2 linked regions of the Elephas maximus indicus genome follow. The protein of the gene in region 1 interacts with the protein of each later gene in a biochemical or structural test. Links are inferred from orthologs where the notes say so. Each region holds a gene or a part of one and is shown in the gene's direction. Other genes may lie near its edges. The genes, in order: TRDN and CASQ2.

Region 1 (3,922 bases):
ATTAATCATTAGGGAAATACAAATCAAAACCACAATGAGTTATCACTTCACCCCCACTGAGATGGCTGCGATTAAACAAACAGAAAATAACAGGTGTTGGTGAGGATGTGGAAAAATTGAAATCCTCATCCATTGCTGCTGAGATTTAAAATGGCATAGCTGCTGTGGAAGAGTTTGGTGGTTCCTGAAAATATTAAACATAGAATAACTGCATGAACCAGCAATTCTACTCTAGGTATATACTCAAAAGAATTGAAAGCAGAAATGCCAACAGATACTTGTATAATGATGTTCATAGAAGCATATTCACAATAGCCAAAGGTAGAAACAAACTAAATGTCTATCAACAGATGAACAGATAAACCAAATGTGGTATGTATATATGATGGAATGTTACTCAGCCATAAAGAGAAATCTGGTCCTGAAACATGCTACAACATGGGTGAACCTTGAAAGCACTATGTTGAATGAAATGAGTCAGTTACAAACGGACAAATTTTGTGTGATCTGAGCTATATGAAATAGAAAAGGCAGATGTATATGAACTAAATTTTATTAATGGTTACCAGGGGTGGCAGGGTTATTGCAATATAAACAACAGATAAATTGATACTCTCATATATATGATTTTATAAGCCACCAAGTGGAGACTTATAGAAAAATAGCCAAAAAAAAAAGATTTGAAATACAGGAAAAAAAAAATCTCATTTCTAGTAATCAAAGAATTGCAAATTAAATGTAGTTTCCCTCCTATGTCAATGCAGATATTTTAAATACTGTACAGTATTGACAAAGAAATAGAGACTGCTGGATTAAACAATTTTCCAAAAAAATATATTAGTTCCAATATATATGTGGCGACTTTGGTGAAGGGTAAGACAGTACACAATACTGGGGAAGCCAGCACAACTTGTCTAAGTCAAGGTCATGGAAGCTCCATAGACACATCCAAACTCCCTAAGGAATCAAATTACTGGGTTAAGGGCTGTGGGGACCATGGTCTCAGGGAACATCTAGCTCAACTGGCATAACACAGTTTATAAAGAAAATGTTCTACAGTCTACTTTGGTGAGTAGTGCCTGGGGTCTTAAAAGTTTGTGAGTGGCCATCTAAAATGCTCCAATGGTCTCACCTCATCTGGAGCAAGGGAGAAAGAAGAAAACCTAAGACACAAGGGAAAGATTAGTCCAAAGGACTAATGGACCACGACTATCACAATGTCCACCAGGCTGAGTACAGCATAACTAGATGCCCAGGTACCACCACTAACTGCTCTGACAGGGATCACAAAAGAAGGTCCCAGACAGAGCTGGAGAAAAATGTAGAACAAAATTCTAACTCACACACACAAACAAAGACCAGACTTAATGGTCTGACAGAGACTGGAGAAACCCGGACACTATGCCCCCAGACACCCTTTTATCTCAGTACCTAAGTCACTCCTAAGGTTCACCCTTCAGTCAGATATTAGACAGGCCCATAAAAAAAAAAAAAGAAAAGAGACTAAATGGGCATACCAGCCCAAAGGGCAAGAACAAGAAGGCAGGAGGGGACAGGAAAGCTGGTACTAGGGAACCCAAGATCAAGAAGGGGAGATTGGGAACAAGTTGACATGTCATAGGGTTGGCAACCAATGTCACAAAATAGTACGCATATGAATTGTTTAATGAGAAACTAGCTTACTCTGTAAACCTTCATCTAAAGTACAATAAAAAAATTTTTTTTTTAAATAAGATAGGCAGTTTGAATCCACCAGCTACTCCTTGGAAACCCTAAGGGGCGGTTCTACTTTGTCTGACAGGGTTGCTATGAGTTGGAATCAACTTGATGGCAATGGGTTAGGTTTGGTTTTGGTTTATTATAGAAGTAAATTTGCATAACTCCTATAAACTGTGTTCTTTGTCATCAGTATTTGACCTGATTTTCTAAATTGTAATTCTCCTTTCTGAATGTTTGTGTAGGAAATGCATCAACAACTACAACTGTGATAGACAGCAAAAATGGATCAGTGCCCAGATCCCCTGGAAAAGTGCTGAAGAGGACAGTCACAGAAGACATAGTGACGACATTCAGCTCCCCGGCAGCCTGGCTCCTGGTCATTGCTCTCATAATCACGTGGTCAGCTGTTGCAGTTGTTATGTTTGATTTAGTGGATTACAAAAATTTTTCAGGTAAGATAGATTAAATTTAGCTTTTAAATTAAAACAAACATAAATGTTCTCCCCAGACCTGGCTTTGTTTTTCCTTGCCTCATCTTAGTGTATGAAATAAAGAGCGCCACATGTGTGCCTTAGGGCCACTGAAGCTGAGTTCCTTTCTTGCTCTTCCCCTTCTATTCTCCTTCCTTGTGTTGGCAGACTTCAAAGGTACCCTTTATTTGCAGAGGTGAACAAAGGTTGAATGTTGCAGTTTCAGAAAGGTAATGATTAGAAACCTTGAATAGATGTCTAATTTGGGGGAAAAAATGGGAGCTTATCCACCATTAAATACAAGATAATTTGTAAAATTTAAACTTAGTAATACAAAACAAAACAACTTCTGGGCAAAAGAAAAATTTGATAAAATATTTTTAATCCCCTGTATCCTCTGGCTCCAGGCTTCCTTTACAAACACAGTCTTACCTTCTTCCACCAAACTACCCTATTTTGAGTTACTGAAAATAAAGTGTGTTAAAAAGAATTTTCCCAGAATTGCTTGCCATGAGACACTGTTCCTTGAGTCCATGTGTCCTCAGGGATTTGAGGCAAAATACAAATAATACAAATGAGAAAAGACAGATTTTCATATGGTCTATTCAATCTCTAGGAGTCCCTGGGTGGCAGAAATGATTAGGTGATCAATTACTAGCTGAAAGGTTGGCACTTCCAATTCACCCAGAGATGCCTCAGAAGACAGGCCTGGCAATCTGCTTCTGAAAGGTCACAGCCTTAAAAATCTTATGGAGCAGTTCTACTCTGCATACATGGAGTTACTGTGAGTCAGAATTGACTCTACAACCACCACCACGACTACAAATTCAACCTCTAAGTTCCCTGTCCTTCCCTCTGTTAGAGAATTTTTATTTATTTTTAAATTGTATTTATCTATTTTTACTTGGGACTGCCTCTATTCACTAAATTGTTTGAAGACAGGAATTAATCAGGTGCACAATAAATATAAAACGAACCAATGAATGGATTTATCATGCATCACCTTTTACTACAAGCGAAAGCATGTCATTAACCTCTTAATGGTGCTCTTTCATAATTGCACTCCACATTTTCTTTCTCCAGTAGAAGTGGGGGTAAAAAGAAAAGAAAACCAAACCCGTTGCCACCAAGTTGATTCCGGCTCGTAGCGACCCTATAGGACAGACCAGAACTGCTCCATAGAGTTTCCAAAGAGCTGCTGGTGGATTTGAACTGCTGAACTTTTTGGTTAGCAGCTGTAGCTCTTAACCACTATGCCACGAGGGTTTCCAGAAGTGGAGGTAGGACCTGGAAAACATAAATACTATATGTTCCATTTTATACACTCAAGGATCCCGTATTTATCTTTATGACACTTTATTCGCTCATTTTACAATTTTTTATCAAGTACTTACTATGTGTGCTAGTAAACAGCTATGCCAAAGATATCAAAAGAAATACAGGTATAAATATCTTGAAGTCATAGCACTATATTTTTTGGGTTTGTTGACACATAGGTGAAATTTAGATGACTCTGCTAGCTGCACTCTTGGTAGCTGGGCTTGAAATACACGTATAAATATCTTGAAGTCATAGAACTACATTTTTTGGTTTTTTTGACATGGAGGTGCAATTTAGGTGACTCTGCTAGCTGTAGTACTCTTGGTAGCTGGGCTAAAGTGAGAGCAACACGTAAGGGGTAAAGGTAAGACCCATGAATGTCAACCAAAGCAAAAGAGTATTTTCCAGAGCCA
Region 2 (3,922 bases), on another chromosome or scaffold:
CTTTCTTTAAACACTAAATATGTGGCTAGTATGTGACCCAGCAATTGCCTGCCTGGGCATTTATCTCAGAGAAGTTAAGATCAACATTCACACAAAAACCTGTACATGAATGTTTATAACAGCTATATTCATCATGGAAACCCTGGTGGCGTAGTGGTTAAGTGTTACGGCTGCTAACCAAGAGGTCGGCAGTTCGAATCCACCAGGCGCTCCTTGGAAACTCTATGGGGCAGTTCTACTCTGTCCTATAGGGTTGCCATGAGTCGGAATTGACTCACTGGCAATGGGTTTTGGGTATATTCATCATAGCCCGAAAATATAAATAGCCCAGATGTCTTTCAACAGGTGAAGACTAAACCAGCTGTGGTACCTCATATCATGAGCTACTACTCAGCAATAAAAAGGAATGATCTATTGATACACGTAACAACCTGGATGGACCTCCAGGGAGAGAATTATGCTGATGAAAAAAGTTAGTCCTAAAAGTTACATGCTGTATGATCCTGTTTATAAAACACTCTTGAAATGAAAAAATTATAAAAATGGAGAAGAGATCAGTGGAGGTGGGAACTGGAGTAAGTGAAGGTGGCTGTAAAAAGGCAATACAAAGGGTCTTTAAGGTCATGGAAAAGTTCTATGTCTTGACTGTGTTGATGTCAATGTCCCAGCTGTGATAGCATACTATAGTTTTGCAATATGCTACCATTGTAGGAAATAAGGTAAAGTGTACTGTCTGTATTCTTTCTTACAACTGCATTCTAATCTCCAATTGTCTTTTCAAAAGTTTAATTTTAAAAAAGTAAGATTAGTGTCTCATGATCTCTCCAGTAGCATCTCCACTCTATTTCTATTTCAAGCCTCCATTCAGCCATATGGCAGGGATTAGATCTCAGGCAACTGAGGGTCTCCCTATCTCCTCATATCTAAGTTTCAGGGAGCTTAGCATGGTGCCAATCTCGTGCTCTGTGGCATCCTCAAAACTGGTATCAGCCCAGAGTAGTTTTCAGCCATCTGCCCACTGAGGACACTGCTGCATCCACCTTACCTTTGGAGCTGAAGTCTCTCTGTGCTTTCCTCCCTCCCCAACTATACTTCCTACTGTGTCACTCTTGGCCACACAGGAGACACTCTACCACTCCTTCCTGTCAATGGGCTTCAGGAAATCTGGAGAGGCCCTCTCAGGCCTATTTGCCAGATACACCAAATGAGCATTTCTATGCCACAAGCACTGGGTGGGGGGACTGGGGGATTATGCTAGGATATAGGGGATTTGGGCCTCCTTTATTCTAAGATCCCTCAAACTATCTGTGGTCCTCTTGCGTCCCCACCCTATTCCAGGTTGACCTGGCAGCAGGGGCAAGGCTCAGAGCCACTTCTCAGGTACTTTTGCTTCCTTTCTGATTCTCTCTTCTCCCAATTCAATTTTACCTATGGCAAAGGCAGAGGAGGGTGTCACATTGGATATATTCTTTCAGCTCTTTTATCTTAGGCCTGGTCTTCAGATTTGATCTCCTTGGTTCTCAGCATTCTGCTGAGTCATCCTTCACCTGAGATAATAAGCACAGAATTCCTTAGCTGCTGCTTCAATTGCCCAGACTAACAGGAAGTATGGAGGAGAACCATCCTGTCAATACATCAAAATATTGTTTTGTGATATTTTCTACCGTCTTTCTCCCTCAGCCCACTTACCCTCCTATTTGTCTTTCCCTTCAGCTTGTGGCCCAGGTCCTAGAGCATAAAGATATAGGCTTTGTGATGGTGGATTCCAAGAAAGAAGCCAAGCTTGCCAAGAAACTAGGTAAGTGTGACTTTTGGGATATACAAGGAAAAAACAAATATCTCTTGCCAAAAAAGGACAGTTGCATTTATTCTCCAATGATAGTTGGACTATTTTTAAGATAAATATAAAATGATGGTGCATAGCTTAGTTTGGGTTGGAAAGAGTTTCATAAATATAAGTCCCAGCCTGATCTGAATAGTTTCACATTAATCATCTGATAATATTTTTGTTTCTGTACAATGAGCAGTTCCTTCCTAGAGAAAATAACACTAAAGAACTAAGCCTTTATTCTTCAGCAACTAGAGCAAGCTCAAAGGCTAGATTCTCTATTTCTCCACCATGGTGATCTCTCTGAGAGATGTCGGATCTCTTCTTCCATCACCTATTATCTCCTTGTCTCTTGGCTGAAGCAAGCAACAAAAGATAGCTTTAATAGTAGTGACTCTGGGGTCCCAAGTGGCTTCTAAATTTAAGGCTAAAACCCAGCCGGGCATTATCACAAAGGATGACAGGGAGCATTGAGGAGAGGAACGGGTAAGTGACTACACAGTGGAAGTTGTAATCTCTTGTGTCCTTAGGTCATACTTAAATGCAAGTGCTCTTTAAGATTCTTGTACCTGTAATCCCAAGCACAGAGAGTACAGGTAACTCCTCCAGTTTTCAAACACCCACACACATGTTCTGCGCATTTGCCTTTTTCTGCATGGTCAGTGAAGAGAGGCTCTTTAAAAAAATAGCAGCAGATTATAAAACAGGACCTTTGAAGAAAGGTTGATTGGATTCGGAGTAGTAAGCATAGGGAAAAAAAAACATTATTAGTGGTGATTCAATAAATATTTTCAGGCCCGTGAAAGTTCATTATCCTGGAGAATTACAGACAACTGTTTTCTATTTTATTTTCAAGAAGTCCAGATTTTTTCAAAAAGATTTAAACTACAGGAGTCAATATTTAGGTTAGACAGGAGGAAGAACTCATGACTGTAAAATGGTAATGAATTATTAATACGAATGTCTGCGGTATCTCCTTCCCTGGAGATAAATTAAGGAGTGTTCTTTCCCTTGAGCAGGGAAGCAAAGTATGTTAAACTCTTTCCGTAGAGTCAAAAGCAGCTTAGTGAGTTCTGCCTTCTCCCCTAGCAGCCTATTGATTCCTTAGTAGTCCCCCTTCCCATTGTTTTAGTGAGAAATTCAATTTGGGAGAACTTCCAGTAAACTTAGCTGCAGGGAAACAGTGGCGTTCCAGTGATTTAAAAGTTTGGGTAGAACAAGCTGGGGCAAGCACTCGTAAGAATGGACCAGTGGGTATTCTTCCAGCAAAGACATGATGGGGCTTGGTACGTCTTAAGGAACCTTTCTCCAAGCTCAGCCTAGAGGAATTGGAGTAGCGTCTTTCTGGCTATTTGACCCTTGGAGTTACTGGACAGTTGTTGTATTTTGTGAACTTGCTCTTTTCATGTTTATCTCTTCTCCATTTGCCTTAGATTGGCTCCCATCAGGCTCTGCCTGAACTAGTGCAACAGCCTCCTAACTGGTCTCACTCAGAAAAAATCTAACAGTGGGCACTGAGTGACGTGTCTATTGAGATTGGCCATTGCTGACTTCAAGCAGTGCGGGCACGATGCTCCTTTAGGTTTATAACCAATGATCCCCAGTGTGCCAGGGGATCCTCAGAGTTGCCTTGAGGCATAGCAGGCAGCAGTCCAGCTGCCTTTTCCCTGGAGGTTCTGCAGAAGAATTCATTTGGAGAAAGCATTCTCCAGCAATAGAGAGTTTGAAAACAATCAATCTAAGGAGTTAGGATGCCAGGCAGTTGGACTAAATGCCAACCTCAGCTATTTAGCATTCCTGGGGGAAAATGCGGTTTTCCAGAAAGCATTTGTTAAGTACACAGACTTACACCAAGGGCAGTGGAGGGTAGGAAAGGAGAAGATGCCCTTGCAGTGTTTACAGGCTAAATGGAAAAGCAGATATACAGGATTCTGCTAGAACAGGAAAACAAGGAATTCATTCTGTCCACTCATTCGTTATGTCCAGGCTCTGGGCAAGGAACTAGGATACCAAGAAGACTGTGGTCCCACTCTCAGAGAGCCTTCTGTTACAGTTAACTACCATCACATCAACTTTGACTGATGGCAGCCCCAT

Evidence for each region.
Region 2: the proteins of TRDN (region 1) and CASQ2 form a complex in vitro, tested with the Homo sapiens proteins (3 studies listed by BioGRID). The link is inferred for Elephas maximus indicus from reciprocal best matches to the Homo sapiens genes TRDN and CASQ2.

The regions. Positions count from the first base shown.
Region 1 is NC_064819.1:191,001,503-191,005,424, reverse strand, and holds the start of TRDN (triadin), read left to right. Parts: upstream 1-1,198; coding exon 1,199-1,256; intron 1,257-1,961; coding exon 1,962-2,171; intron 2,172-3,922. UniProt on the Homo sapiens protein: Contributes to the regulation of lumenal Ca2+ release via the sarcoplasmic reticulum calcium release channels RYR1 and RYR2, a key step in triggering skeletal and heart muscle contraction.
Region 2 is NC_064821.1:164,562,137-164,566,058, forward strand, and holds the start of CASQ2 (calsequestrin-2), read left to right. Parts: upstream 1-1,606; 5' UTR 1,607-1,608; coding exon 1,609-1,798; intron 1,799-3,922. UniProt on the Homo sapiens protein: Calsequestrin is a high-capacity, moderate affinity, calcium-binding protein and thus acts as an internal calcium store in muscle. Calcium ions are bound by clusters of acidic residues at the protein surface, especially at the interface between subunits.